4 linked regions of the Alligator mississippiensis genome follow. The protein of the gene in region 1 interacts with the protein of each later gene in a pairwise test. Links are inferred from orthologs where the notes say so. Each region holds a gene or a part of one and is shown in the gene's direction. Other genes may lie near its edges. The genes, in order: NEFL, USP2, TEX11 and SKIL.

What was found.
Region 2: the proteins of NEFL (region 1) and USP2 interact in binary tests that used the Homo sapiens proteins (3 or more experiments, as listed by UniProt). The two-hybrid records come from large-scale screens. The link is inferred for Alligator mississippiensis from reciprocal best matches to the Homo sapiens genes NEFL and USP2.
Region 3: the proteins of NEFL (region 1) and TEX11 interact in a two-hybrid assay, tested with the Homo sapiens proteins (2 studies listed by BioGRID and IntAct). The two-hybrid records come from large-scale screens. The link is inferred for Alligator mississippiensis from reciprocal best matches to the Homo sapiens genes NEFL and TEX11.
Region 4: the proteins of NEFL (region 1) and SKIL interact in binary tests that used the Homo sapiens proteins (3 or more experiments, as listed by UniProt). The link is inferred for Alligator mississippiensis from reciprocal best matches to the Homo sapiens genes NEFL and SKIL.

The regions. Positions count from the first base shown.
Region 1 is NC_081830.1:22,883,626-22,891,211, reverse strand, and holds the start of NEFL (neurofilament light polypeptide), read left to right. Parts: upstream 1-4,427; 5' UTR 4,428-4,455; coding exon 4,456-5,505; intron 5,506-7,586. UniProt on the Homo sapiens protein: Neurofilaments usually contain three intermediate filament proteins: NEFL, NEFM, and NEFH which are involved in the maintenance of neuronal caliber.
Region 2 is NC_081839.1:31,067,331-31,074,586, forward strand, and holds the start of USP2 (ubiquitin carboxyl-terminal hydrolase 2), read left to right. Parts: upstream 1-4,180; 5' UTR 4,181-4,264; intron 4,265-5,988; exon of another isoform or gene 5,989-6,073; intron 6,074-7,256. UniProt on the Homo sapiens protein: Hydrolase that deubiquitinates polyubiquitinated target proteins such as MDM2, MDM4 and CCND1. Isoform 1 and isoform 4 possess both ubiquitin-specific peptidase and isopeptidase activities.
Region 3 is NC_081831.1:83,090,351-83,098,198, reverse strand, and holds the start of TEX11 (testis-expressed protein 11), read left to right. Parts: upstream 1-4,690; 5' UTR 4,691-4,800; coding exon 4,801-4,834; intron 4,835-6,905; coding exon 6,906-7,027; intron 7,028-7,848. Other genes in the region: nuclear cap-binding protein subunit 2, read right to left, coding at 2,378-2,476, 3,233-3,371, 4,037-4,218, 4,331-4,417. UniProt on the Homo sapiens protein: Regulator of crossing-over during meiosis. Involved in initiation and/or maintenance of chromosome synapsis and formation of crossovers.
Region 4 is NC_081830.1:74,864,317-74,871,669, forward strand, and holds the start of SKIL (ski-like protein), read left to right. Parts: upstream 1-4,347; 5' UTR 4,348-4,495; intron 4,496-4,795; 5' UTR 4,796-5,079; coding exon 5,080-6,186; intron 6,187-7,353. UniProt on the Homo sapiens protein: May have regulatory role in cell division or differentiation in response to extracellular signals.

The DNA.
Region 1 (7,586 bases):
CAAGAAATAGAAGTGAATATCAATTGAAAAGCAAGTGAAAGGTCACAGAAAGAGGAGGTTACAGAGTCAGTAGAGAATAATCATTTTAATAATGACAAAATCATCCTCGGGTTACAGAAAATGCAGGAAAAATGTAAAAGTGCAGTGGAGGGCTGGGCGAATCGAAGTAGGCATATCAGATCCTTCTCTTGTAAAGTGTCAGTGCTACATCTACATCCTTGCAAGCACGACTTGGAACTTGACTGAGGCCCACTGACTTCAAAGATGTAAGTGCCAGGGTCTGGCACAGCTGGGGGTTATGTTGCGATTTTGAATCCAGACATGACCAATAGTGTCTGAAAGATGTTAACATCTGATCATCTGTTCACCAGATTCACAAATTTACCACAGTACACTCTATTCAGTTTTCTTGCAAGCAATTCATCAGTGAGGTGACAAACTGAGTGAGACAGGGAGGTTAATGTACCCTCTCAGACATAGAGATGGCCCCTCTAGTTCAAATGGGTAATTGCCTGAATAATGGGGAGGGGTGGGGATGTCAGCTCCAGGGGCATAGGGATGAATCAGGCCCTTCAATTCTTTCTCTGGATTCTTTCTCTGTGTTGGATGGATCTGAGAAACCCATGGTTATTTACAATATCAAGAGATCAGCCTCAGCTTTTTGCTTCAGCAGATAGAAATGGAACTAATACTAAACTGCTAGGTGACACATCACATCTTTATTGACTGTATTCTTATTTCTTTCAAGAGCATCTGGAAAATGCACACAGCCTTTCAAGAGAGGTGGAATGAGCAATTGCATAATAATTGGAAACCAATTTTTCTTTCTTCCTCTGTTTACTACCAACAAAACACCAATATTTTGGGTCTACAGCAAAACACCAATGCCCATGCACATTTATATATGTATTCCCTATCATAGGGAAAAAAGAAAACTAGTATAAAGTAAAAGTTAGGTGCAAAAATCTAGATGAGTACTGTCTTATTAAGGGAAATAGTTATGGCTTTTCAGGGCACCTGCCTTGAATAATAGCTTTTATTTGCCCTATTTTCTTCCCAGCTAACAATTCCCCATTCTCGCCACTGACCTGCAAAGAAGTCCAACATTACTGTCTGCCCCCAAAAGCTTCAGCACATGTTACACTGTCATCTGTCTCCCTGACACCAGTTTTATGTGGAAAAGGAATTTCCACTCCTTTGACCATTTCCATGAAAATATCAGAAAGAATGTATAGAGTTCCAGATTTGTAACACCATGCACAGAAGCTAGAGATTGTTACTGTTACAGCACCTATTATTTCTTAGTTTGAAACAGGTCATTTTTAAAATAATTCATAGAATAATAAAAATGATGGTTAATCATAAACTCCAGGATCTGAGTTGGATTGTGTGTCAATGAGTGCAGAGCCAGGAAAAGCAATGGATCTCTGCAAATTTATATTAGTTGAGGGTCTGGTCTGAAATAACTTGTATTTTAAGGGCCTGATTGACAGGCTACTGCAGTCAGCAGGAACCTTTCAGTTAGCTTTAATGGAATTTAAAACATGCCTATATAGCCGCTCTTCTCCCAAAGTGCTTTGCAGACTACAAAAGCCACATACATAGGAATCACATCAATATTTGATGAAGTGCATCCGTCTCCACTGCATATATTTCAGAATTAGCAAGCAACCTGCAACCTAGATTATATTGTTATTCACACTGCATGCCTATTGCATGAGTTAATTCTGAAGTTTTCAGTCCTTTCCTGGTAGAAAGGACAAAACACTCTTAATTAAAACTAAAATGTTGAGGGTTCATGAAATGTCATTCTCAGCTTGTGTGAGCTGGTATAGCTCCCCTAAAGCCAATGGAGCTATGCAGACTGACACCAGAAGAGCAACTTGTCTTTTGTTCACTGCACAGGAGCCATTTTCATTCTGTTTCTCTGGTATCAGTAACATATTTCACCACAATAGTAAAAAAAATGCTGACAGCCCACTGTATGCAAAGTAGCTGCAGTCGCAGACTTTTCACTGACCTTGCATCATGGCCGACAGTGGAATTTCATTATACAGCATATGAATAATTTGTAGCTATTGCCCATCCCCAGATTGGGTTTGATGACTGAATGGAGTGGATATTTATTTTTAAGATGTGAATTTTAAATTTTAAAAAATGTCTCCATGTTTATACTGAATGTAAATTCAGATTACTTTTACTGAATTCAGTGAGATCACTTCAGTTAATTAGCACTTCAGCACTTTTGAAGGAGATACTAACCCTCTGCATAGGAATGCACTGCACCAAAAATGGATTAAAGTAAAAAAAAACCCCAATTATATATATATATATATATATATATATATATATATATATATATATATATATGTGTGTGTGTGTGTGTGTGTGTGTGTGTGTGTGATTCCCTTCCCTTTCATGTTCAAATACCTTGAATCCTATGCAAGCAACAGTGTGAATTAGGCAATTTCCTTTTTGTGTGACCACACTAAGCATCTGGAGATCTAATAAAAACAGTTGCATGTCATTCTTATTGGAACAAAACCTACATGAAGCAAGAATTTTGTGTCAGTCGTTTGTGTAGCCACTACTTAAGTACTACTGTGACTGGCACTAGATAGACAGAGAGAGAGAGAGAGAGAGAGAGAGAGAGAGAGATGTTGTAAGTGTTAGACCAACATGGACAGTTCTTTTCTCTTTCTTTGTGAAGCATTTGAGCATTTGCAATTTCAGCCATTAATAAATGTGCCCCAAAATCTAGTCTTTTTTTGTAGTCCTTACTCAGACTAAACTCTCCTGAACAGCTTCTTTTGGTAGTAAGTAACATCTTCTGACCCAATCAGATATCATACATATGAAACTCAGTTGCTTAGTAAAAAGTGACTAGAACATAACTACTGCTTGGCTGCACTTGCCCAATAGCAAATCTTCCAAACATTTGGGAAGCGGTGTGTGTCATTGCAAAGGAACTGTCCATGGTCCTTTCCCCTTTTCCTCCCGCTGCTCTTTGCTGTGCTCCTTGCAGCTTGATGGTACAAGTCTGAATTGCCAGATTCATTTACCACTGATCTGAGTCTCAAACAGGTTGACTCCTAGTGAATGTTGCCCTGTATAACATCATAGGGATAGAGATAGATTGGAAGATGTGTGTTTGTGTGTTCGCCTGTGACAAGCAACACCCACCCAACCCATGTGTATATTTTGAATCCCTGTAAGTGGCTGGCTCAGAAAAGGTTTTAACAACCCCTTTTTTTTGCCTGCAAGAAAAACCTTTGCAAGCTGTGCATCGATGGCCAATGATGGGAATCAATTGCTTTGTACCTGTGTGAGTGGAAAGCTGCTGTGGGTACATCAAGGGCTCGGTAAGCAACTGTTCACCAGGGCACCTGAGGGAAAACTAGGAGTAATGGTCACAAACTCCTAGAAGATCGATTCAGGCTCAACATTAGGAAAAAACTTCTTCACAGTTAGGGTGTCCAGACTGTGGAATAAGCTCCCTCCAGAGGTGGTGCAATCACCTACCCTGGAAATCTTCAAGAGGAGACTGGACAGTCACCTTGCTGGGGTCACCTGACCCCCAGTTATCTTTCCTGCTAGGTGCAGGGGGCTGGACCCGATGATCTTACAAGGTCTCTTCTGGCCATACAATCTCTGAATCTATGAAGCGGGGCCTACGTTGCTTTGAGATGGAGAGGGTCTGTGACAAGCTAGAGGAGAGGCATGCAAGGCAGGGAAGACAAAATGGTAAGCAGCATGCCAGTGCAACTTGTACTGTGCAATTTGCCAGAGGGTCGCACGTCGGACAACTCAGTCACTCTGCAGCACCCCTCAATGCACCCAAGGCGCACTCCCCATGGCCTCCTGAGACCGATGCCTGCCGATGACTACAGGGGCAAAAACCTGGCATGTCAAGCCAGAGTTGAAGTGTAGTGTGCTTAGTGAAGTGAGGAATGCAAGGTGAGCAATCAGCCTGGCAGTCGCACCCAGTCAGGGGCTTTCAAGAGGGCGCCTGAAGCCTGCAGGGGACGGGGCCCTGCCTCCCCCAGGCTCCTCTGGAAGCGCCGGGGCTCAGACAGGCGGGCTTGGCTGCGAGTGGGGGGCGCACAGGGGCAGGCGGGGAGGCGCTGGGGCTCCGGGAGGAGGTGGGGAGCTGCTGGGGATCCGGGAGGAGGCGGGGAGGCACTGGGGATCCGGGAGGAGGCGGGGAGGCGCAGGGGCTCCGGGAGCAGGCAGGGGAGGAGGCGGGGAGGTTGCGGGGAGGCGCAGGGGCTCCGGGAGCAGGCAGGGGAGGAGGCGGAGAGGCGCAGGGGCTCCGGGAGCAGGCGGCGCCCTCGCTCGCTCGCCCCCCCGGCTGCTGGCAGGTGTCGGCGGCTGCGTGGAAGGCGGCGCGGCGGGGGATAAATAGGGGCGGGCGGGCCGAGGCTCGCCGCAGAGCTGCCGCGCGCCTCCTCCAGCATGAGCTCCTTCGGCTACGAGACCTTCTTCCCGTCCTACAAGCGGCGCTACGCCGAGAGCCCGCGCCTGCACCTGTCCGGCGGGCGCAGCACGGGCGGCGGCGGCTATGGCGCGGTGCGCTCCAGCTACTCCAGCCTCTCGGCGCCCGCGTCCTCCGTGTCCGTGTCCGTGCGGCGCAGCTACGCCGCCTCGTCCGCCTCGGCGGTGGAGAGCCTGGACCTGAGCCAGGTGGCGGCCATCAGCAACGACCTCAAGTCCATCCGCAGCCAGGAGAAGGCGCAGCTGCAGGACCTCAACGACCGCTTCGCTAGCTTCATCGAGCGGGTGCACGAGCTGGAGCAGCAGAACAAGGTGCTGGAGGCGGAGCTGCTGGTGCTGCGGCAGAAGCATGCCGAGCCCTCGCGCTTCCGCGCGCTGTACGAGCAGGAGATCCGCGACCTGCGCCTGGCCGCCGAGGAGGCGACGAGCGAGAAGCAGGCGCTGCAGGGCGAGCGCGACGGGCTGGAGGACACGCTGCGCGGGCTGCAGGCGCGCTACGAGGAGGAGGTGCTGAGCCGCGAGGACGCGGAGGGCCGGCTGCTGGAGGTGCGCAAGAGCGCGGACGAGGCGGCGCTGGCGCGGGCCGAGCTGGAGAAGCGCATCGACAGCCTGCTGGACGAGCTGGCCTTCCTCAAGAAGGTGCACGAGGAGGAGCTGGCCGAGCTGCAGGCGCAGATCCAGTACGCGCACCTCTCGGTGGAGATGGACGTGGCGGCCAAGCCCGACCTGTCGGCGGCGCTGCGCGACATCCGCGCGCAGTACGAGAAGCTGGCGGCCCGCAACATGCAGAACGCGGAGGAGTGGTTCCGCAGCCGCTTCACCGTGCTCAGCGAGAGCGCCGCCAAGAACACGGACGCCGTGCGCGCCGCCAAGGACGAGGTGTCCGAGAGCCGCCGCCTGCTCAAGGCCAAGACGCTGGAGATCGAGGCCACGCGCGGCATGAACGAGGCGCTGGAGAAGCAGCTGCAGGAGCTGGAGGACAAGCAGAACGCCGACATCTCCGCCCTGCAGGTGCGTGAGGGGCGCCTTCCCTCTCCCCAGCCGCCCCGCCGCCCCCGGAGGGTTGTTGGGGACTCCTTAGAGCCACTTCCTTGCAAAAACTTCACCCCCCCCCCCAAAAAAAAAATTGGGGCCCTCTGGCAGTCACCCAGTTTGCCCTCCTCAGTACTCCCCAAACTTTTCCTCAGCATGGCCCCTGCGACCCCATCTGCCCCCATCTGCCACCCCGTTTGCACCCACCACGGGGGTTCCCCTTGGCTGCGGCTGTGCTTGCGTGAGCAGGATTGGCGCGCTCAAGCAGCTGCCCCTCAAGCTCAGTCCAGCTCCCTCAGTCCGCAGTCCTGCCTGAGCCAGCCACTGAGATCTCCAGCTGCACACGTGCGCGCTGCTCTGTGTCAGGCTGGCCAGGTTGCATGGGCAGGCTGCTCTCTCTTTCCCTTCAGAGGTGGGGAATAGCACAAGTGGAAGGGTAACAAGGCACTTTTCTCTCAAGTCTGGACAGGAGCAGTTACATCCAGCCTTCTGAGCTGGCCCTGGCAGGAAACCTCTCCCCGTATCTTCCTAGGCCCCCTCTACATTACAGGTATTGTGTTAAGACCAGATGGTTACCTTGAGACCAGCTACACCAGGCAAAGTACTCATCTCGCACCATAAAAAGCTCCCACCAGCTCTGAGGTTAGACCTGGAAAATGTGTACTAATTTTAGAGCTGGTTGTTATCTTGCACCTGTAGCTGAGTCTGCAGTCAGAGAGATGTGGGGCTGCAAGGGCTGTTCAGAGTTCATTTTGTCCAACCCCCTGCCTGAGCCAGGATCATATCTGTCCAGCTCATCCTATACACAATCTAACCTCTTAGCCAAATAACAGTCAGCCCTGACACAACATAGACCTAGCATCCTAACCTGCCACAGGAGAAGCAGGGGAACCACTGCAGCCAACTTCTGTGAAATATTGTCAGTAGATGCTCAAGAGATCCCAGGTTCTGAGATCAGGGGCTTTTTAGACAGCCACCCCACCACCCTCTTGCCCCAGGCAGAGCTGTCCGTGAAGCCTCTGCACAAAGGCAGGGAGTGGCTAATGACCTCTGTGTCCTCCACTTCAAAAGCAACAGGTTTAAAATGTGAATGGGGAAATTGAAAGGAAAAGTGGGGACCTGAATATAAAAGAAAAAGAAGTGTTGAAAGCCTGGCGGTGTTGAAAGCCTGCACCCAAATGGCAGTGCAGACAGTCCTGCTCTGCAAAGGCAAAGTGTCCCTGCAGCTTGTGTGTGCAGCCATACTGAAGGGAGTCATTAGGGAGTCATTGCATTAGGGAGCCTGCCCCATGCAGCTTCACCTGCTGGAAAGCTTAGCAATTAAGATGGCACCATTAATGACAATGATTTTTAGCAGTCCTAAGAACCTGAATAAAATTAAATGAGCTGCCCTTGAGGGAAAAAGCATGTTTAATACAGGACTAATTACATAGAGTTAAATATTATTGCATCTGTTAAGACATGTTCTCTAGTTGTCTTGATGAACAGGAGGCTATAGGTATATTAATATGAAAAAAATGCATTGGGTTTTATTATTAATTAATATCATATTATAACTAATAAAAGCTGAAAAGGTGATGTTAGATCTAATGTTTCTTAGGTTATATTAATTACTTAAAAGGATTGGATTTAATAAAATAATGCCTGAAGACACAAACTGGGTAAAGAGAATAAAGGATTACAAATTAAGGGAGCGTCTGTTAAAAGAATACATAAATCTCCACAGATCTCTTCTGTCTATGTGCCAGTTCTTGTGGCACTTAAGTAAAACTCCTGGGTGAAGTTCATCAAGAGTTTGCCTCGGTAAGCAGTGTAGAATGTGGTAAAATATCAGTAAAGTGAAATATCATGAAGTTAATTTTTCCTTCCCCCACCCCCCCAGCCCACGAACTACAATATCAACAACTGATTCATCTCAAATCACAAAGAATCCAATATATCTATAATGTAAAGTGATGGAAATGAAGTAGATAACATTCGCAAATGCAGAAACTAGGTACAAAATCTAATGGTCTAGCTCATGTACATCAGCATAGATTCCTTGAGGAGGTATGCAGATT
Region 2 (7,256 bases), on another chromosome or scaffold:
TGTAGGTAGATACCCCCTCCCTCTCATTTGGGGTCCAGCAGCTGCATCTCTGGCCATCCCGTCACTGCTGGCTGCTGTCTCCCTCAGGACAGAGGCCGGGGGGGTGGGACCCCTCGATGCCAGCGCTCCTCCCTCCGTGCTTCCAGCTGTTTTGCTCCAGCCCAGTCTTCCTCCAGGTCAGGGCTCCAGTCTTCCTCCCCCAGCAATTTCTGCTCCCTGGGGCTGGCAGCCCCTTTGCACCTCCCCTCTGCTTTGGGGCCCCCAGGCCAATGGGGGCCAGGGGAGGCCCCCGAGAAGATGCAAGAGAGGCTGCACCGGGGCAGCCTTGGCCCCCACCCTCTCCCCCTGCGCCAGCGAGGGGGGCGCAGCCCGGCCCCGATCCGTGATCCGTGCCCGCTGTCGTTGTGTCCCCGGCTTGCTGCAGCTCGACCCGGCGGGGCAGTGCCTGCTCTGCCACAGAATAAACCCACTGGATGCCCGAGCCTGCCCTGTCTTCCTTGCGGGTGCCCAGGGATGCCCGGCCTGGCCCAGCCCAGCCCAGGCCAGGGAGGGGGGACCGGGCTCCATTGTGACATCGCGGCCCGGGCAGCTCCGCCTAGACACCGGTGCTGGCTGCTGCGCCCGGAGCCAAGTGAGTGCATCGCAGCCGCCTCCTCCGGGCCTAGGGAGCGGGGCGATGCCCACCTGCCTGCTCCATGGCAGTGCCCCCCAGGCTGGGGGAACTGCGCCCCCCCTCCCCGGCTGGTGCCCACTGGGGTTTGCCCCCAGCTTTGTGCGGGCCAGGGAGTGCATGGGCCAAGCCAACCCATGCCAGGTAGAGGAGGGCACATGGCCCCTCACACAGCACGTGCACATGAGGTTGTGGCACATCACAGCGGCACATGTGCCACGCCGTGCTGCACGTGGAGGTTGTGACCTCAATGCCCAAGGGGCAGGGGTCATGCCAGGCTGCAGGCCCCTCCCTGCAGCAGGGCGGAGCGGGGAGCAGCTGGACCCCTGGCGTCACCCTCCTGGGGGTGGAGGCCAGGGCTGAGGCTGTCCCGGGCGCTTTCCCATTGCCGCCTGCCCCATTCCTGGCCCGTAACGCAGAAGGGAGGGAAATGCCGGGTTAATTGCATCCTGCCTAATTATCCCAGTGTGCGCAGACTGAGTCACTGCCCGCCAGCGCCCCACGTCAGCCCTGGGGACCAGCCCTCAGCGGGTGGCGTCCCGCCCGATCCATGTTGCTCTGGGTCTGTGCACGGGGCTCCTCCTACGGCCCCGGTATGCCCCAGCCCACAGAGCCCCAGGGGTGACCGGCCCGTTGCCACAGACCCACCAGGCAAAGCCGGCTGAGAAGGGCCTGCCCTGTCTCGCTTGTGAGGACCTGGTTGCTGCAGGGGACAGATGCCTAAGTGCCCTGTGACCTCTCCCCCCAACCTGTCTGTTTGCACCATCCCAGTCAGCCCTGCCCTGTGTCCCAGACAAATCCCTGCCTCTCCTTGTAGGGTCCCGTCCCATGCTCATCGCCCTGGTGCAGGAAGGTCCCAGGGGCACCGGGTCCCCGTGGCCTGGGGGATGGGGCAGGCCTTCCCCTGCTCTCAGCAGGTGCTGGATCAGGATCGGAGCAGCCTGCCATCCGGTGACTCAGACCCTGCATCTGTTGCCTGGCTGCTTCAGCGCCCAGAGGCCCTGCTGCCTGTCCCGGCTCCGTCCCATTGCCCTGTCCCCAGAACATCGCCCCAGCCCTCCTCGCTGCCTTACACCTCCCTCCAGGCCCTCCAAACCTTGGTCTCCCCTGCCTCCAGCCCCCGGTGCCTCTGGTTACCCGTGCCCCCCACCCTCTGTGGCAGTGCCCTCTTTCTGTGGGTGCAGGGCCCCGCTGGATTGGGCCCGGTGTGCACTGTGCTGCCCCTTTAAGCTCCCCGGGCTGGCATGCCAGAGGCGTGCTCCAGCGCCCAGTGAGGTCAGATAAGACACTATATTTATCTAGCCGGTAACCTGAGCTGAGAATTTCTTCAGCGGCTCACGCAGCGGCTCAGCCCTCGGCCCATTCCAGCCTGGTCCCCAGCAGAGCCGTCTGCGCAGACATCCCGTCCTGTCCCGCAAACAGGTTAGTAGCCATCGGGTTTCTGCTTGCGCGCCAGAGCCAGCACCTCACTGATCCCGACGTGACCCCGTCCCGGCTGCTCCGGTGTCGCCCCATGACAAACCGTGACCCTCCGGCCCTGCTCGTCCACACGCAGGTGCGTACGGGCCCGCTCGGGGCTTACGGGACTAATTCTGGGGCCCCGAGAGGCAGAGAAAGTTCAGGGAAGACTTAGCCAAGTTCACTGCTGCCTGGAAAGGAAGATGCTGAGCAGCCCGGGGAGGACATGGCAGCAGCTCCTGGCACCCATCCTTTGCTTGTTCTTTGTCGTTCGACCCAAAACCAAGCATCCTCCACTCGCCTACACAGCCCGCTGGGCACAAAACTGGCCTGCTTGTCGTCCAGTCCCACCAAGTCCCCCTTGGCCATTGGGTGTCAGTCCATGCCACGCAGTGGGTTTGACCGGGCTGTGGAGAGCTTGGGCAGGGGGCTGGCTGCGTCGGGCATTGAGAGCCAGCTTGGACTTTCAGCAGCGGAGGTTGGTGCCCTCTGATTGCTGCTAGGCAGCAGGTGACCTGAGTTGGTAGGTCTCGGCTTGGGACCCAGGGGACAGACCGGAAAGCCGCCCCTGGAAGTGCTGCTAAATAGAGCAGAGAAGGGCTTTGAAAGCTGGGGCCTTGGCCAGCTCTGTGATACGTGTGGGTGGGAGAAGGCCCATTGCCACCCAAGAGGGGAGCCATGGGGATTTGGGCACCTTGCACGCAGGGAGCAGAGCTGGGGCTCCAGGGCAGGAGCTCATCCTGTGTCTCCTGGCTCCAGCTCCAGAAGATAGTTGTGGATCTGGCCCCACAACACAGACCACGTGCAGTCTGTGCCCACCCCCCAGTCATGCCAGCAGGGCCAGCAGGTGATTTGCACTGAGCCCCGGAGGAGTTAAGGTGCCTGGCTGATCCGCTGATAGGCAGCGTCCCCTGGGCCATGGAGCTTCTCGTGCAAGGGAAACGTGCAGGCAGCTCCCAGCCCCCAGATAACCCCACGGGCTGCAAGGAATTCCTGGCATAACAGACCTCGCGGCCCGGCAGCAAACAGGCCCTTCCCCTCGCGACCCTCGGAGAGGGGCATTCCCTCTCCCCGAGCCTGGAGGCCTGGGTGGAGTGGGTCCATGAGGGGTTCAATTTGGTGTCCCACCCTGCTAAGAGCTTCGCCGGGCCCCCTCTCATCCCAGCCCCCAGCAGCCGTCCGCTGGTCGGAGGTGACCCTGCCCCGGGAGGCAGCGGATGCCCCGTGGTGCTGGGTACGGCTTGTTGAGATCTAGGGTAACCTCCAGGCTGGGACATTGTGTCTCTGAGGCTTTGACTCCGCTTTAGCACCTGGGTAAGCAAGAAATGCCTGTGCCGTGATGGCTCTAGCGCGCAAGCAAGCACTGGGGCTGGGTAAGCCAAGTCCATGGGGACAGTGTCGGTGCAGGGAGCAGAGCAGCATCCCCCGGCAAGGTTACCGGGGTGGGGACAGAGCTCTGGCACCGTGGCCCAGGCACTATTGCCAGCAGGTTTGGGAAGGCACAGGGTCCCCTCCGTCATGCCCAGCCAACCGGCTCAGTGACCGCCCTCGTGTGCAGCCCAGCACCTCCAGGCCAGCTCTGCAACCTCCTGGAGCACTTGGGGGTTGTCTGAGGGGACCAGGCCTCTCTCCTCACCCAGAGGTGGAGCCAAGCCCCTGCCTGTCTCACAGAAGGCATCTCTGGGCTGCCAGGCCTTGGCACACTTTCCTGCCTTGAAGCTTCAGCTCCAGACTACTCAAGAGGGAACGGGGCAGTCTAGTGGTGAGGGCTGAGAGCCAAGACTCCTGGGTCCCATTCCCAGGCTCGCCTCTCCCTCGCCACATGACTGTGGACCGGATGTGTCTGTGCCTCAGCTTCTCCATCTGCACAATGGGACTAATGACAGAGCGGCAGCCTCCCAGGGAGGGTGGAGGCCTGCCTGAGTCACTGGGGCCTGCTGCGGCCTTTGAAGTCCCAGGTGCTATAAAAGCACCGAGAATTATTCCAGAGAGAAGCTGGGCTGGTCGGGATCCTCCCACCTCGAGGTCTCAGGACAGGTGTCTGGTCTCTTGCAGTCCTGGGGCCCAGGATGGTGTGACACAGCCCGGGACGCTCCGCGGAGCAGGCAGCTGGCACAAAAGTGGCGATCTTAGATGGTAAGCGGTGAGGGGCCCTCCCGACACGGGGCAGAGGCACAGGAGTGCCTGGGGACAGGGCACTGGCACATGATCGATGTCCTCAGATGTAGCCTGACGCTGGGGCTTGGCCTCTGTGGTCTTGCAACATGTTCTGGCTGATACCTCCCCCGTCCCCCATAGCTTTGAGCTCATATTATGTTTCTTGGAAATGAATTTCCACAGCTGCTTGTTTCACCCCAGAGGTGGCTGCCTCGGTCCTGGCTGGGGGGCTGTCAGGAGAGGTGCTTTCTGCGTCAGCGGGGGGACACGGTCATCAGGGGGAGAGTCCAGCCCTGCGTGTGGCTCATGAGAGAAGGGGCCCTGTTGCAAGACGGGCACTGTGTGGGGGGAAGAGGGACTCGGAGAAGTGGGGCTATGGGGTGGGCACTGAACTGGGGCTGGTCTGTGCCAGGACTGGGCCCTGCAGCTGCCCTGGCACCAGGGAGCCTGCTCTGGGCTAGGCTCCGGGGCAGCCCAGAGGGTGTCTGTGCTGAGCTCACCTGCTGCTGAAAGGGGCCGGGAGCTGCGTGGCCTGTGCCCCGTGAGCAGTCCCCATACACCCAGTACCCGTTGGGTCGTGCCACCCTTCAACGCGGCTCCTACTTGCCTACAAACCAAGCCCCTGCCATGCCAAGGGCAGCGGGGCTGGGGCATCAGCTCCTGCTGATGGAGGGAGGGAGCAGCCTCGCCCCAGGTGGATTATTCACCCCAGCGGCCTCCTCCCCAAACAGGTCTGTGTGCTCGGGCTGGCTTTGCCGGCTCAGCGTTCCCGACCCACTCAGGGATGATTGTTTCCTCGAGAGGACGGGATCCCAGCCCGATGCTGGCGCAGCCCAGAGGCCCAGACAGAAAATCCCTGGGGCGTGGGCAGGGGCTGAGACACTGCTGTCCTGGGCCTGAGCAGCCGAGGCACGAGCGTGGTTAGCATAGCCTCCCCGGGACCCGTGACCTCCCTCCAGCGGCTTCCGATTTCACGTGGATCGCTTTCACCCGCCCGCCTGCCAGTGGAAAATCCAAAGCTCCTGCACCGCGATGGGGCCCGAGGGCCATGCACGGCCCCCATGACCCGAGCCCCTGCGCCTGGGGGGCCTCGGCCCCTGCTGGGGGGCATCATTAGGGCACAGACAGGGGCCTGGGCTGCTAGTGCTGCTAGTGCTGACAACTCTGGGTGGCTGAGCCGGACCCAGGTGGACCCGGCATCCTTGGACTGTGGGGCAGGACTCGGGCTGCCTGGGAGAGCAGGCGGAGGCCAAACCCGGTGCTCCCCGGCCGGCGTGGCTGCAGGGGGTTGGGGCTCAGGACCTCTGGAGCTCCCCCTGGCTCTGCATACTGCAGCCGAGGCCCCTGCACATCTCTGCCTGCTCCGTCAGGGCCTTGCTATGTGTCCCCAGCTGCTGACCTCACTGCCCTGGGGCTTGTGGCTGTGTCACCGGCACCGTGGCATGTGGGTCAGCAAGGCTCCGGGGATGGGTGGCGTAGCAGATGCTTGGAGATCCCCAGCAGTGAGGCACGGCGGGTGTGGGTCAGCCTGCCCTCGACCGTGGCCCCTGTGCCAGCGGCAGGCAGCGCGCCGCACAGCCGCTCCAGCCAGCGAGTGTGTGCCAGCCCCGCCCTGGCACCCGGCCAAGCGTGCCGAAATCCCGCCCAGCCATGCCGGGGAAGGGTTTTGAATCAGGGTCGTTGCCTTGGTGACCGGAGACTCTCGGAGCCATGCGAGCCGCTGTCCTGAAAGTGTGGGGAAGCGAGCGGCGGGCCCACAGGACTGTCCAGGGGCTTCCCCGGCACCAGGTAATGTCCCTAGGTCCCTTGGGGACCAGCCAGAGCCCAGGCCTGGGAGCCCTGACCCTGCCCCATGCCAGCGGCTGCCCCTCCGCATGGAGCTGCACCAGCAACAAACTTTCCTCCCAGTTGCAGCCCAGCGGGTGCCCAGGTGCGCCCCCCTGCATCTCACCTGGGGTCTGTTGGGAAGTGGGAGTGGGGGGGGGTGCTCTTGAGAGCAGTGCTTGTGACCCACCAGGCTCTGTTGCGGCGGGGGCAGGGGGTGGGGAGCTGGCCAAGGGGGTGCCCTGGGCACCCCCTCTGGCATGCAGTAGTGCTTCTGCCTTCAGGGCACTGCCCAGGGCTACGGACACCAGTAGGACTCCAAACTCCTCGGTGCTGTTGCTAGCTCTGCTACTGACTCATTGGCTGGCCTTGGGCATGGCACTTACCCCACCCTGGGTCCAAACTTGACTGACTGCCTGTAGTGGGCACTTCCAGCCATGGGTGTGATGCCCCCCAGGGGCATCTCCCCCCCCCCCACATCCATCCCATAGGTGCCCAGAGGTGAGGCTGGCACCAGGAGTCTTGGCCTGGCGTCTTTGCTCTCCTGTGCTGCCTCTGGTTGGCCCCCAGTCTAGCCCAGTAACACCCTTCCCCCCTCCCATCCCAGAGCTCTTGAATTGGGTCAGGTCTTCCCCCACCCCCAGCCCTTTCTTGCAGCAGCCTGGAGCAGAGCTGGCAGCTCCTGAATAGCCCCGGCCTCTGCTTCTGGAATACCAAGGTCCCGAGGCCGGCAGGGGAGGGGGCATTCCCATGCTCAGCCGCTCCAACAGGGCATCCCGTGGGCATCACAGTAGCATGCTCCAGCCGGAAGCGCGCTTGCGGGGCTGAATTATTGATGGGGCAGCAGCGTCCCTGGGCAGATCAGGTGTAGCGTGGCTGGGAGCAGGTGGCAGGGCCTCGCTGTGGCCCTGATCCTTAGTCTTCCCATGGTTTCCCATCACCCTTCCTTCTCTCTGCCCCCCTGCACTCCCAGGTCCAGTCCTTCGCTCTGTTGTCTTCCTCTGACCACAGTGGGGCACGAGGGGGTCCAGCTCCCGGTCTCTGCTGCACGTGCCGGTCAGGCTGTGGGGAGGGGAACTTCTGAGGTCATGCTCCACACTCTGGCACCTGGGCTGAGACTGTACAAACTCATTCTCCATGTGGCTGC
Region 3 (7,848 bases), on another chromosome or scaffold:
CGGCAGCGCCAGGCTCTGAGACAGCTCCGTCTGCGCTGGCTGGGGTGTCTTTTCCCTCATTAGTGTTTATTGTTTTATTCCTTCCTCTTTGGATCCTCCAGTGGTTGTGAGGCCCCTTTCTCTCATCCTGCTTTTCTCTAGCTTAGCATGACTACAGGCTAGCACTAGAAGTACCAGCACCAGCTACCAGGCAGACAACACAGGTGTGCCCGGCTCCGGGAGCTCTTCTGAGAGATGCAGGTCCTTCCCCCGGCACTGAGCTGGCCCCCGCCTCTGCTTGGAGAAGAGATCTCCCACAGCACAGTGGAGCAACGTGGGAAGAACAATGCGTGTTACGTAGTTCTGTCCCAGCTGATTCACTCCTCCTCCCAGACACTCCCTCAGCCCAGTCTATTTTTTGCCTTCACCCAGCTGCACCTTCCCAGGCACTTACTCCTCTGCAGTCTGCCCTGACCAGGCTGGACAGACCGGTCCCCTTCCCCACAAGACAACCACACACTTGTTCTTACTGCGCATTCCTGCCTGCCCTGCCCTGCAGCCAGCGTTTGGGCCCCGGACGGCCTGGTGCTGAGGGCAGCATCCTCGAGTCTGCATCTTTGCTCCCTGCCTCTTACCTGTTGCATCTGACCAGGGCACAAAGCCCAGGTCACGCTGGCAGGAAGAGCTGGATGGAGGCAGCAGCCTGAGCTTCTCCACAAGTGGACTGAGCCATCTTAAGAATTCAATGTGAAACCCCTTCGAGTCAGGGCTTTGTGGCGACTTGAGCTATAAGCATAGCCTTGTCCAAATGCCTGGTCTGTACCAGCTGCAGCCAGAAGCAGGCTTGGTTCCCATTGGAGCCCAGAGACCCCCTTGAGACAGAGAGCTGCTCCCAGGTAAGTGGGGGATTTCTTTAAACGAGTTCAGTTACATCCCACCCTTTCCCAAAGGCTCAGCACGGCCTACAGCAAACAAGCCACAGAGGATCCTCTGGCACTTGAGGGCTCTGCAGAGCTGTGGCTGCACTGCACAGAGCAGAAGTTGCTGGTGTTTGCATGATCCCAAGCCAGCTCTGAGCAAGGGCGTGATGTACGCAGCTGCGGGGTTCTGCTCTGGCTTGGTGCAACACAGGAGGGGCATATAGCACCCCAGACCCCAGGTACAGGTCCGCTCAGCTGTGCTGTCTTTGAGGGGGAAGCAGTTCTTACAGGAGTCTCCTACCATTAGCTAAGTTGAATTTGGGCAGCCTTGCAAAGGGGCTTGGGGATGAGTGCCGGGCTTACTTTTCTAAGTTCTTGGGCTGACCTTAAAGCACAGGCTGGGCCCTCATGTAGCTGTATGCACCACAGAGGACCCGACACTGCTTGGAGGCAGGGCAGGGCCATTAAGAATAGTGACCTCTGGCTAGTTCCCCAGGCCAAGGGGAAGGCAGATAATGGTGAATTACCCAGCAGTGACCCGTTATCAGTTGATAACTGGGAATGGGCAAGCAGTGGGAAGTAAAGGAACCATGGTGAATTAAGTCACAGTAGTAAGTTATCCACACTCACCTGGATGGGAGCACGGGAGCACTAGTTTGCTGATTTCCATCTTGTTTCAACCAGGAATAAACACGAGAAGAAAAGTGACACCCACACCAAGGGGAAGCTCAGACAAATGCAGGCATCCATCCCTTAGCATGCAGGATGTGCCCCCCAGGCCCGTCACAGGTAAACAGCACCAGAGCACAGACTGCAGAGACAGGATTATACGTTTATTTAAAAAACCCAAAAGACACTTAACAAAAACCACACAGTAACTGGGAGACTGTGCCCCACCTAGGCAGTGCCAAGGGCACGGCGAGGACAGGGACTCTGCAGGTCTGACTGAGCCCAGGGATAGAAGTGCAGGCACCACTTGCACTGGCCAGTACAGTCTGATTATGCTTCTCCAACCCAAGCCAGCAACAGTGCTTTAAAACAGCAGGAGACAATGTAAACGGTAGACTTGAAACTCCTGCCTGTGCCTGGGCAGGTGAGACAGCTTTGATGGCTGATGAGTTCTCAAAGCTTGAACTTGAGGGAAACAACAGTGGCTGGAAGAACAGCTTGGAGGCAGCCAGCTGTGCCAGAGAGAGCAAGAGGAGTGAGTTGCTGCCAGGGTCTGGGTGCCATGCTGCACTTGTCCTTAAAGAGAATCCTGCAGAGCTGGCCACGCTGTTCCCTTGCTGCCCTGCATTAGCAGGGAACAGCCTCTCTATCCCAAAGGGAAGGGGAATGAGCAAATGTAGACAGCCAGTCTAAGGAGGATCACTTCGTCCTGGAACCTGGACCTTGCTCCCCATCCCAGTCCAAAGGGCAAGGACAGGGCTATCTATGGAGGACCAGTGCCCTTCTCTGTGCTAGGACAAATGAGGCACTTAGTAGATCATAGTCTGCTGATTCGCCTTTTGCATCTGGATGATCTTGCCAAAGCCACCTCTCCCCACGTCATAATCCGTCCGGTACTCATCTCGCACCTGGGGGCAGAGCAAGAGGAGGCATTAACACCCTCCACCTACTTACATGTCACAACGCTTTTAGGAGCCAGCTTCCTCTCCACCTCACCCCAGCAGTTGGTGGGCTGAAAGCCAGGGTGCAAGTTCATGTTTTTCAACTCGCTTGATAACACCCCATCACAACAGGGACAGGACAAGTGTGGGGCTGTTTTGAATGTCAAAGCAATACAAAACAGTCCAAACACTGTTCAGTTTGGCTTTGCAGTCTGGCTTGACGGATTGTCAAGGTTGAACCCTCTGAAATCTGGGAATGAATCTCATCTTCCCACTGGCGCATCCCGTCTGACAAGACTGCCCTTGCAACCACACAACAAAAACACGGGGCTGGCAAGACCTTCAGGGGGTCACATCTAGGGCAAGCCCCTTGCTTGAGGTAGAGTCATCTGTGTCAACCATCCCAGACTAGCACTTGTCTTTCCCGAGCACCGTTTCTTCCTCCCTGCTTGTTTCCTCCATCAATCTGACAGCATCTCATTGACAGCAGAGCAACATTCACTTTGCGCCCTCAGGAGCCGGGAACCCAGCTCTTCAGCAGCAGCAACTGTCAATCACTTACTCCAGTCCAGCATCAGGTACTAAACCAGTTTGACCGGCTTTAGTTCAGTTATTGGGTCTACGCTGCATTACTCTTGCTTTGTGTTGGCTCAGTCACGGTGAGCAGCACCCAGCTGAGCCCCGGGGAGCCATGTTCTAGACTGACGTTGGTCTGTTGCTTACCTGTCCTCCCGTCTTTCCTCTCCCGTACTGCCGGCCCTCCTTAAACCCTGCGTCCCAGTCTGTCCGGATAATGCGGTCATCCAGACGGGTGCCATTAATAAATCTCATTGCATGTTCAGCTTCCACTCTTGTGTAATATCTGGAATAACTTATAAGGAAAATACAAGGTGCTGTTCTGCTGGGTAGGGAGGTAGAAAGAGAGAGTAATTTTATATGGCATGGAGGAACCCTGACTTTCAACTCAAGACCCAAACGCTAACTGGCTCCAGTCCCCTCCCAGCGCAGCGCGAGGCCGCGCTCGTGCGTCTCAGCTCTGGCACAGCGAAAGCAACAGCGAGGGGTCCCTCGCTTCAGGGAGAGGCCGGGCGCTGCCCCCAGGGCGCTACACGTGCCCCTTTCCGGGACAGCGCGTGCTGAATTTGTACGCAGGACTTCAAGCTGCATCAGCCCCGCTTCGAGCCTCGTTTGTAGGAGACGCCTCGTTTAGCTGCCCGTGCGCGGCCGCTGAAGATGCTACTGCGCGGGTCGGTCGGTGATCGCACGCACTGCGATGCGCGCCGTGCATGGGCACCGCCACGACAGCCGCCCACCGGGCCGGCACAGCGCGGGGGACACCCCCGCCCGGAGCAACGCACCGACCGCACGGTCCCTCCGCCGGCCAGACACCACGCGCGCCAGCACGAGCAGCGGTCCCACCCGGCCTGGCCCCGTCCCACACGCGGAAAGGGCTGAGACCCGGCGAGGGGCAGCAAAGAAGCCCCTGGAAGAGGGCACCGCGCCGCGCAGGCAGCGGCTGCAGGATACTCCACGAAGCAGAAGCCGCACGGCGTCTTCTTGATCTTGTCCAGACCCATGACGATGCGCTTGACGTCGCCGCACTTGGAGAAGAGCTCCTGGATCTGCTCCTCCGTGGTGTAGAAGGACAGGTTCCCCACGTACAGCGTCGACGACGCCTTCAGCGACTTCTCCTGCAGGTACCGGCTCCCCTGGGGGCACAGCGGGCGTCAGCGCGGGGGGGCCGGCTACCCCCATCCCCTCCCCCACAGCCCGCCGCACCCCAACCCCCTCCCCAGCCCTGCCCCACGTCCCCCGGCGCACCCGGAAGTGCTGGTCGCGGTACTGGCTGATGTCGCAGTAGGAGTCGCTGCTGAGGCCGCCCAGCGAGGTGCCCAGCAGCCCCGACATGGCGCCGCAGCACGCGCCGGCTCCTCCCGCCCTTCTAGCCCCGGCGCAGCGCCGCCGGAACCGCCCCTCCCCCGCTCGCCCGCGCGCCCACCCCATTGGGCCCAGCGCCCGCCACTCCGCAAGGAGAGGCGGGGCGGCGCCCCCATTGGAGGAGGGCCCTGCCCGCCAGCCAATCGCCGCGTGGGGCTGGCCTCCGCCGCGCCGGAAGTGCGCGTGCGCGGCCGCGGGGGGCGCTGGGAGCTGTAGTTTCGCGCCAGGCGCGAAAGCCAGGCGCGTGTCCCGGCATACCTCGCGCGCCCAGGCGCTGAGGTGCGAGGAGCGGGGTGTGAGGCGCAGGCGCTGCCTCGTGCTTGGGGCAGGCCCGAGCAGCCTGGCGCTGCGGCATGGCGGGCGCCCCCAGCCTCCCCGCCCTGCAAGGTAGCGCCTCCCTCCCCTGCCCGCCGAGGGTTTGCAGCCTGGTGTGGCGGGGTGAGGGGCCCTGCTTGCTGGGGGCGGCCTGGTTCACTGCAGGCCCTGCGCACCCCGCTTCTCCACCTCACCCCCCTTCGCCAGCCTCCGTCTCCCAGTGCAATGCAGTGCAGCGCCGCCCGGCTTCCCGCCTCCGAGAAGAGCAAGAGCTCCCCCGAGAAACCCTCCCGCGCCGTCTCTGCTCCCACGGCGCTCCGGTGCCACCGCAGCGCCGTGCTGCAGGACAGCCTCGAGTTCGAGACGAGCGCCCGGGAGAGTCGCCCGGGAGACGAGCAATGGGGCGCTCGTTACAGCCGATACGAAAAGCTGTGTCTGGTGTAGACGGGAGGCCGGCAGGGTTTTCCAGTGTCACAGTGGCGTGCGTCTGCCTCCCTGGCGTCGGGGCTGCGTGCTGCGCCGGGCGCGGTGGCGTCCCGAGAGCAGGCTCTGACAGAGCCGGCAGCCTCCTGGGCAGACACGCAGCACGTCCGGGGGTGCAGCGGCGACTGCCGGGCAGTCTGGCTGTTCAGTGGTGCCGAGCTGCTTTGCCTTGGAGCCGGGCCGCCAGGAACAGGCTGAGTCGTCAGGGGAGATGTGCCGTGAAGCGGGACGCCTCCGGCTGCCGGGGCCCCGCCCCGGGTGAAATACTTCTGGCCCTAAACCAAAAGCTTAGCGACCAGTGCGTAACGTTCGACGTGAAGGCCGTGTCTCGCCCTGTACCCGGTTGAGCTGAGCGCACGGCTGCAGAGGAAATAGCAACCTGTATTTGTTTTAGTTTTGGAGTCTAAAATAGGTACTTGATAACTTGTTCCCGATCAAGGAAAAGGGCACGCTCTGTTACGTAACTTACAATTAAAAGTAATGCGTGATTAGTTCTGGCGTGCTAGGATTACAGGAAAGGAAATGTGGTCGACAGATTCATTTTTGTTAGGACAATATGTAATAAGGTAACTTGTGAAACTCGCAGTGGCTGCAGAGCCTTGTGTGTTCCTGAGTTCATCAGTTAAGAGACTTGGACAAAACTTGTTTTGCCTTTTCACGTTATTGTTTTTGATGTCTTTGGAAGTTAAAACTATTCTCTCTTGCCAGAGATTACAGGGAGCTTTCCGTCGACTTGAGTAAAACAAACATTATAGTGACTGGGGCAGAGGTGCGGGAGGGATTCGTTTTGCTCCTGGACCAGAGTCAGGGTTTTTGTTAGCAAGGTACTGGGCTCTCATGTCTGTACCGTGTAGTGCTGCTACTGGCTGCCCAACTGGGGGTAGATATTTAAGCTAGCACGTGAAAAACTATGGAATTGGAGACAAGGGAGGGCAAAAAGGTTTTATATGGTTTTATTTGGTCCCCTAAACTGCTCTGAGGAGTAGTTTCCAGCTGCCGTTGTAAGGGATTTACCCACTAAAGCAACCTCATTCCTTCCACATTCTGAGAGTGGTTAAGAGAGCACCTGATCAAGTCCGACTTTTTCCTTTTAAGCCAAGGGCAGGGATTTAAAGATTTAGCAGTTTTCTCTCTTTTTATAAAGATGCATGGGGGTTTTAGGATTCTAGAATCGGTGGTGGCAGGTTGTTCTATGATCCTCAAAGGAAGCGCTGGCGTTGGCTTACCAGTATCAAAGATCCTGAATACAGGTTGTGTACATTATACTTTCAGAGGGCCCAAGAATAAAAGTTGTTTAGGAGGGAACAAAAGACTTGGGGGAAGCAGACATTTTATTCACAGATAAGATGTGCCACATTCTGCACTCTTTACTTATGTTTAGTTCCTTTGACAAATGTAGATTTCACTGCCGCAGTTTAGCAGAATATAGCCTTATGCCTTAACTAAAATAAATTTTCTTTAGAATAGAGTTGTTTCTCAGGAGTTACTTTGTTCAGCTTCTCTTGGTCTCCTTGTTTGTGCTTTTTTATTAGCCAGGAAAATATGAAGAAAATGTAAACCAATGGGTTTTGCTTGTACAGACTTGTTCAGAGATGATGTGCTACTCATAACATTTGTATGGTGCTCACTCCGTTTCTGCCTCATGCACCTTATTTTTCAGAGCTTGTTCAAGAGCTGCTGAAGAGAGACGCCCCATCCAACGTTCCTGAGATCATTGACAAACTATTCTCTGAAATAGAAAATGTGGATAAGAAGGCAGAGGACGAGATTCAGGAGGCTGAGGTAGAAGGCCAGGGACTGTTGGATCCCAAAGCTGGATATTTAAAAACAGTCTGTTCTTACAGCCAAGGTGGAGGCAAGCAGTATCTACTGCAGTTTGAATGCTCATTGGCTGGTGCAGATAATGAGTTGTCATAGTACTGAGAATCTATAAAAGCACTTACATTTTTGCATGTTTTACTTATGTTTTGTATAACTATAGAGCATACACTATAACATTTCTACTTCTCCATTAGCACATTTGAAGAAAGTAGAGGTGTTTCTAAAAAAAAAAAAATGTAAATATTAGAATAGTAAACATTAGCAACTGGCAAGTGGGGGATTCCACCTGTCCTTCAAAATGATATGTATTAATGTTTTTGAATTCTGAGGCAAAATATCCTTATTTAAATGTCAACACTACTGACATGAATGAGATGCTGTGACTTTTTACTTTTGAATCTAACAATGCAAAAAGACTAAAAAAAGCACAATAGTAAAATAAATGTAGAAAAGAATAATGAAGATGTTAAAATTGTAAATACAAACACTCCAAAATCGCAATATAAAAACACTGAAGTTTTCTTAGTAAAAATCTTTCCCGTGCTTCACATTGATTAGTGATTACTAGTCATAATTTTAAATGTCCACCTAAATGATAAACTGTAGATGCATTGTAAATGAGTTAATACTTTTGGAGTCTTGGCTTTTTGATTGCTTATAGTTCATACCTAATCAAAATAGAAGAGATAATTGTGTAAAAGCTTATAAATTTAGTTCTTGGTTTTTCCCCTCCTCCAAAATCCTAGTTAAGGATGATTTACAAATAAAGTTGCAAACTTCTC
Region 4 (7,353 bases), about 52 Mb from region 1:
TGGATATTTATTTTTTGCATTACAATAGCACCTACAGGGCCAAATCAGACCAGAAGCCATTGCATTAGCTGCTGTGCAAATAGCCTATACCAGTGATGCAACAATTTAAGTTTAAGATCAGATACAAAAACTGGATAGAATAAAACAAGACTGGGTGGGGGTGGAGGGTGTATGAGAGCAAAAGGGTGATAGCAGAAAGAACACATTTTTGTATAGGCAAGCGGTGTGTAGAATTTATAGATACCAAGAGGAGGTTTGTTTGTTTTTTTTGTTATTATTCTAAAAATAAATCTTATCCTGTGCAATAGTCCCAGCTCACCACCTGCTTAATTATCATCAGCTTGCAGTGCTCTAGGGCTAGGCAACATGATAGATTAAAACTTTAAGAAAGGATTTAAGAAGAATCAAGCAGTAGCTTTATAGGTTTATTCAAGGAGTGTTATGTCAATAAGCAATGCCTGAAGAAAGTTAAGACAGACCAATTAAAGTGTGCAGTCAACGTGTATAAGTTAAAAAACATTGAACTAATTTGTGGATAATCTTGTTCGAGTCTGCCCTGCACCTCCTATGGACAAACCAGGCACTTGTCCAGGGCAGCAGCATGGAAATGGCAGCATTTCTAGCACTGATTAGTGATGATCAGCTTCCAATTAGTTGGCATGGTTAATTATGGAAATATGGAGGCAAAAATCTATTTTGTCTGGGGACAGCTCTGCAGTCCAGAATAAACTGACCTTTATTTGCTGTAGACCCTTTGTCTCTGAATAAGAGTATACACAGAGAGGTTTAAAGTATCCAGATTTTTGTAGCCGCATTAGTCTTGAGGAAAAGATAATCAGGACTCATAGTAGAGATGATATCTTTTATTAGACCAACAAGATGTTTTGCAAAAAAAAATAAAAATCTTTAATTGCCTGCTTTTGGGTACAAACACCCTTCGTCAGGCATTGGAGAAAAGATTGTTAAAGTTCTCCTGGGTAGAAATGAAAGTTCATATTTCATAGGATTTCACAGAGAGGTCAATAGATGGAAAACTCCTCTGGGCAGTCAGTTCATAGAGAGGTTTAAAGCACTTTTAATTCATATGCACTTGATGTCTTATCTTTAGTTAATTTGCTTTTGACATCTGTCCACAGTCTTAAGATGGAATATTAACTAAACCATTTTAAGAAGGTAGACTTACTGCGGCAGACTAGGTGTCACCTGAATATGTAGTTGTTGTAGTTTAAACTACCTGCTTCTATAGTGCTATAATCTTGAATGAAACAAATTTAAAGTTGCAATAGCTTAGTTCTTTACCTGTTTCTCAGTCCACTCCTAGTGGACAGCCCATAACAGACAATATAGCCAAAAGTACAAAGAAAGGGGACAGGGCCAAAATCCTAGCACCATTGGATGAGTAAAGTGGGGGTGGGGGAAGAGTGACAATGCCTGAAATAAAATGAATTGGTACAGTGGGTATAAACTGTGAAGGGTCTTGATAGAGTGGGGGCAAGACATCTTCTGTCCTGCAGCTGAGAAAAACAAAGTATTGTACCACCCTAATTAAATGAGCTATAGTACATTGACTGAATAAAACAACTAACTAACCATATTTTGCTCCTTCTTCCCCTTCGTGATTAATTTTTGTTCACTTTTTGAACTTCCTTCCATTGGTAGGTACAGCCTGAAAACTGCAAGGTAAATTAGTGAAATGAGTTTTGGGGCATTATAACACCCTTCTGGGTACTGGTACCCCAACACCAGACTTTCCTCTACTCCCAGCCCCACTTCACCTCTGGTTTTTCTCCTGCCACACCTTTGATGCTACTTGGTTGTAGCTGAGAGAGGCAGTCCCTGGTATCAGGGGTAACTGCTAGTTGCCCCATTGAGCCTGTACTCCCCTTCAAGTGTTTCCCTTTTAAGGGCAGACAAGGTTCCCTTTTAAGGGAGCATTTCCAAGGCTTCTGAGGACTTGTCAGACCCTCTGCTGTCATAATCATGGTCCCCTTTTTCTCTGGCTACATGCCCAGCCTTGGTCTACCATTTAAGATCTCAACTGCCAGTTATCAGCCCTCCTAGGGAGCCCTACCTTGGCAGTTGAAAATCTCAGCACCAGCCTCCACTTGTTTAGCTCAGGGCCAGCTCTTAGGGCAAGTAGCAGGGGAATGCCACCCAGGCATCCCTGTTCATGGCCTCCTCCACTCCCTGTAGCCACAACTCAGTCCTGCAGTACAAACAACAAAAACATGAGACAGCTGCTTCATAACCCAAATAGTTTCCTTCTCAGGATAAATGTTGCCTGTAGGCCCTAACTCTTGCAAGAGACTCCTCCACTTCCCCTGGGTGGCCAGCCTCTAATAGCTGCCCACTCCAAAGAGCTTCTCCCTATTGCAGGCAGAAGCTTCCCTTATGTTGTCAGACTGGACTAATACTCCCCAGCCCAGTCTCTTTTCAGGTACTGGACAGGGCCTTCTGCACCAGGTACAGCTAATCCCTTCATGAGCCACCTGGCCTTATCAGTCCTGGGCCCAGTCCACCTGGGTTGTTGCTCCTTACTGTCCTTCTTGGCCCAGGGTCCCTCATTCTCTCAGGCCTTTCTAGTGACAGGAGCAGGAATACCCTGTTACAGGCACCCTCACAATTTCCCACCACATTGTCTGCTGGACCTTGAAGAGGCAGAGAATCGCAGGGGGTTTAGAAAGGATGTTCTCTGCCCTGTGCTGATTATGTTTGCTCCAGTTCTCCCTTCACCTTCACTCCAATTCTGCTCTTCTCCTTTCCCCTGCCCTTAGTTTCTACCCGACTAAGTAAAGCCTCCCTGTAAGTAAAGACATCCCAGAAATAAATGAAAGGATCCTGATTCTTGCTACCATCACATGGCTCATTTTTTCTCTCTCATACTCCTTCCCTGCCCCGTGCCTGTTTGGTATGTTTAGACCCAGGTTCTCAACCTTTGTAGACTCAAGATAAAGGCCAAAGTGGAGTATGTGGAACTACAGAAGGATCTGCCATGGCTGAGTGAATGAGCAACCAAATAGCAGGTGAAATTCAGTATAATTAAGTGTAAAATGATGTACCTGGGTAAAAATAACCCTAACTATACTTATACAGTGATGGGCTTGACATTAGCTTCTACCACACAGGAAAGAGATCTGGGAATCATTGTGGACAGGTTGCTAAAAACATCAGCTGAGCTCAGCAGCCCTCAAAAAGGCAAACAAAATGTTAGGGCTCATTAAGAAGGGAATCACAAACAAAACAAAACATATGAGCATGCCCATTTATAAATCTATGGTGCGTCCACACCTTGAATACTGTGCCCAGTTCTTAAAAAGGATATAGAAGGACTCGACAAGGTCCAAAGAAGGGCAACGAGGATGATTAGCAGCATGGAGGGGCTACCGTAGGAGGGAGACTAAAGAGACCAGGCCTTTTCACTTTAGAAACTACAGGCCGTGATCAGAATTTACGAAATACTAAACAGTGAAGTCAATTTACAGTCTCTCGCAGTAGGAGAAAGAGGGGACACACAATAAAATGAATCCCCAAGACGTTGAAAATGGCCGTTTTCAACCTTCTTTCATTTGTGGGCCCCTCAAAATATTTTGAGCAGCAGCATGGCCCCCCTGAATGGCAAGCGTGGGTATTTGCACACTTTTGATTGATCACCCTCGCCTTTCACAGCCCCCTTAGGCGTAGTCTGTGGTGACCCCCCCCCAAGGGCGATAGACACGGGTTTCAACCAAGCCAGGGACGTTTCTTTTCGTCAGAGCAGGCCCTGGTGGAGCCGGGCGTGGGGGCAGCCACGGATTCACCGGGGACCGGACACCGAGCGAGGGGCAGGGCTCCCTGCACCCGACCAGGGGAAGAGGGACCCGGGGGGGGCCCACACAACCGGCTCCCTTCTCTCTGCCGCAGGGCTTTAAACACGTGGGAGCCCGGGCACGGCAGAGCGGGGAAATGGCAACTGCACGGTCACTGCTCTGAGCTCCCCGGGCTCCTCCGGCCCCGGCCGAGCAGCTGGGCCGCGTGCAGGAGGCCGGAAGCCCCCGCGGCGCCGGGCCCGGGGTTTCCCTGGGGCAGCGGCCCCCGCGGAAGGGCTCCCGGCGCCCGGCTGAGTCACTGCCGGCTCCGCCCCGTCTGCGCCCGGCCGCCGCCACAGGGAATCCCCGCGCTGGCCCGACCGGGCCGGGTGAGGCGAGGTGAGGCGAGGCGGGGCCGAGCCGGGCCAGGCCAGGCCAGGCCACGCCGCGCGTGGGCGTGGGCACGTCCCGTCCTGTCCTGAGGGGGGCGGGGGCCCGTGGGGGGAGGGGCGCCGCAGACGGGGGGCGGGGCGGGAGCGCGCACCCGGCGGGTTCGTGGCCGCGCGCCGCCGCCGCTGTCTGCGTCTCCGCAGTGAGGTCACGGGGAGGCGGCGGCGCGCGCGGGCGAGCGAGAGCGACACTGCCGAGGGAGGGAGGGAGGCCCCCGCGCGGCTCCGGAGGCAGCGGAGCCGAGCCCGCACAACGGAGAGGTAGGGCCCGGGGGTCGTGGGCGCCCGCCCGCGTGGGGGAGGGGATGTGGTGGCGTGGGGGAGGGGCCGGGCGGCGGCGCGGGGGGAGGGGCGCGTTCTGCGGGTGGGGGCGGGGCGGGTGTCCCGGGGGGAGGGGAGGGGGTGTCCCGCGGCCTGTGGAGGTTCCGGCCCTCCCTCCCCCCCTCGGGGAGGATGGGGGCAAACGGGCCGCCAGGCTGAGGGGGCAGCAGGGCCGGGTCTTGGCAGCCTGCTGGGAGACCGACTTTTCCCTTTCTCCTTATTTTTCCCCCCGCCTCCCAGATGAGTTGGTGCCTGATGGAGAAGCCAGCGGTCTGCGGGCAGGAAACGTGCCCTGCTGTCTGCGCTGCCTAAGAGCCCAGCAGGGCTTTGTAACACCGTCCCTTCCCACTCGGCTGCCCTCCCGGAGGCCCCGGCATAGCGCTGTCCTGGCCTGGCCTGGCCTGGCGTGGCATTGATTGCGTGTCTGAGGGAGTTCAGATAAGCCACAACTGACATTTGTTTGACAGAGAAGCTAGAGAGATGCGCCCTCACGGTTTCTTTCTGTAAACGCGTGGCGGTCGGCGATGGAAGGCCCGCAGGCAAACTTCCCCCTGCGCCCTGGCTCCGACCAGAAAGTGAATAGGATGCGGGAGGATGGGAGCCCTCCGGTAAAGAAAGCAATGACAGAAATGCATGGAAATACTGAGTTCCCAACTGGGGTGAGTAAGATGCCCACCATCAAGAAGGAAAACTTGGATGAATATGATGAAACTCCCATGGAGGTGGATAGAGAAAATGTCAAGTCAGACAGCGCTGCTGTATCTGAGCGCCTGAGTTTAAACCCTGGTTTGAAACACACCTTGGCACAGTTCCACTTAAGTAGCCAGAGTTCGCTGGGTGGACCAGCCGCTTTTTCCGCTCGCTATTCTGAGGAAAGCATGTCTCCCACCGTTTTCTTGCCTCTTCCATCGCCGCAGATACTTCCTGGCCCCTTGCTCGTCCCTTCAGATAGTTCCACGGAGCTCACTCAGACTACGCTGGAGGGGGAATCTATTTCCTGTTTTAAAGTTGGTGGAGAAAAGAGACTCTGCCTACCTCAAGTCTTGAATTCTGTGCTCCGAGACTTTTCCCTCCAACAAATTAATGCAGTTTGTGATGAATTGTACATATACTGTTCAAGATGCACTTCTGATCAGCTTCATATCCTAAAGGTATTGGGGATCCTTCCATTTAATGCCCCATCCTGCGGGTTGATCACGCTGACTGATGCGCAAAGATTATGCAATGCTTTACTACGTCCTCGCACTTTTCCTCAAAATGGCAGTCTGCTTCCTGCTAAAAACACGTTGGCTCAACTTAAAGAAACTGGCAGTGCCTTTGAAGTAGAGCATGAATGCTTGGGCAAGTGCCAGGGTTTGTTTGCACCTCAGTTCTATCTTCAGCCAGATGCTGCCTGTATCCAGTGTTTGGAGTGTTATGGAATGTTTTCTCCACAGACATTTGTGATGCATTCACATAGATCTCCTGATAAAAGGACCTGCCACTGGGGTTTTGAATCAGCCAAATGGCATTACTATCTTCACATTAACCAAAAATATTTAGGAACATCAGAAGAGAGGGAGCTGAAGCATCTCTTGGAGGAAATGAAGGAGAAATTTAGCGTGAAAAATCAGAAAAGAACTCAGTCCAAAGTAAGTCCAGTTTAATCTGATAAAACTTTTGGATTACTTGCTGTTAACAGATGAATACTTTTGAAGCATGCTGTTCATTTTCCTAAATACGAGCCAGTGTCAGATCAAGTATAAGCTAGGTGTGTGAATGATCTGCAGCATACATAATACAGTCTCAACAATTTCAATGTAAAAGGCTTAGTATTAAGAATTCTTTTCTAATTGGAGCTTTTGTCATAAACTGGTCAAAAACTTTCAGAACGTAGTTCTGTTTCTTTGGATGTTTTTGATAGTCATGTTGGTCTGAGACTAAAAGAAATGCAAAAGCTTTAGAACTCCTGGTTCAGAAATGATACCTTTTATTAGACCAACTAGGATAATAAAAGGTATCATTTCTGAACCAAGAGTTCTAGGTTTTTGCATTTCATTCTGTTTCTTTTGCTTTTTTAAACTGGCAATATCTGGAAAATGTAGAGGTTTCATGGACAGTCTGTCCTCCTGTTTGACCTACACATTGTGTGATTGTTTTATACCAAGCATGTTGCAATAAGCAGGAAGCTGCCTGAAAAATCAAGTGCTAGCTTAAACTGACAGACACGGACTTAAATTCCTGTGCGTATATGTACACATGGTATACAGCCAGTTATCTTGCTAAGCACCCAATAGCGTGTCATGATTTTTAAGGTGATAGTGCATTGATGCTGGTGAGAGGCCAAAGGCTGCTTTTAGAACGTGGTAATATCTTTTTTTTATGTTAAACATGTAATGTATAAGATATTACTTGAATTGCTTTTAAGGCCTTTCTCATATTACTGTGCAATGCACCTTGACACACCAATGAGAGAGACTGCCTATTTCAGTAACACTGTAAGTCTACACAGTATTTCACAAGCGTGAAGTTAGTTCTACTACAGTGATATCATAATCTAAATAAGACAAATAAATATAAGATAAATGTTAACTGTTTATAAAAGAAGAATGAGAAATGCTTGAAAAAGAGGTTATGAGGAAGGATTTGGAAAATAGAGGGTAACTAATGTGTTACTGATTTGAGGCATTGCTGTGGTAGTTGTGTTTGTAGATTATTAATAATTTTTCTGAGAAGAGCTTAAACTTTGAGTTTTTGGAATGTTTCCATTCCTCTTGGGGTTCTTTTTGTTGTTTGGAAGAATTTTCCTGTTCACTTTT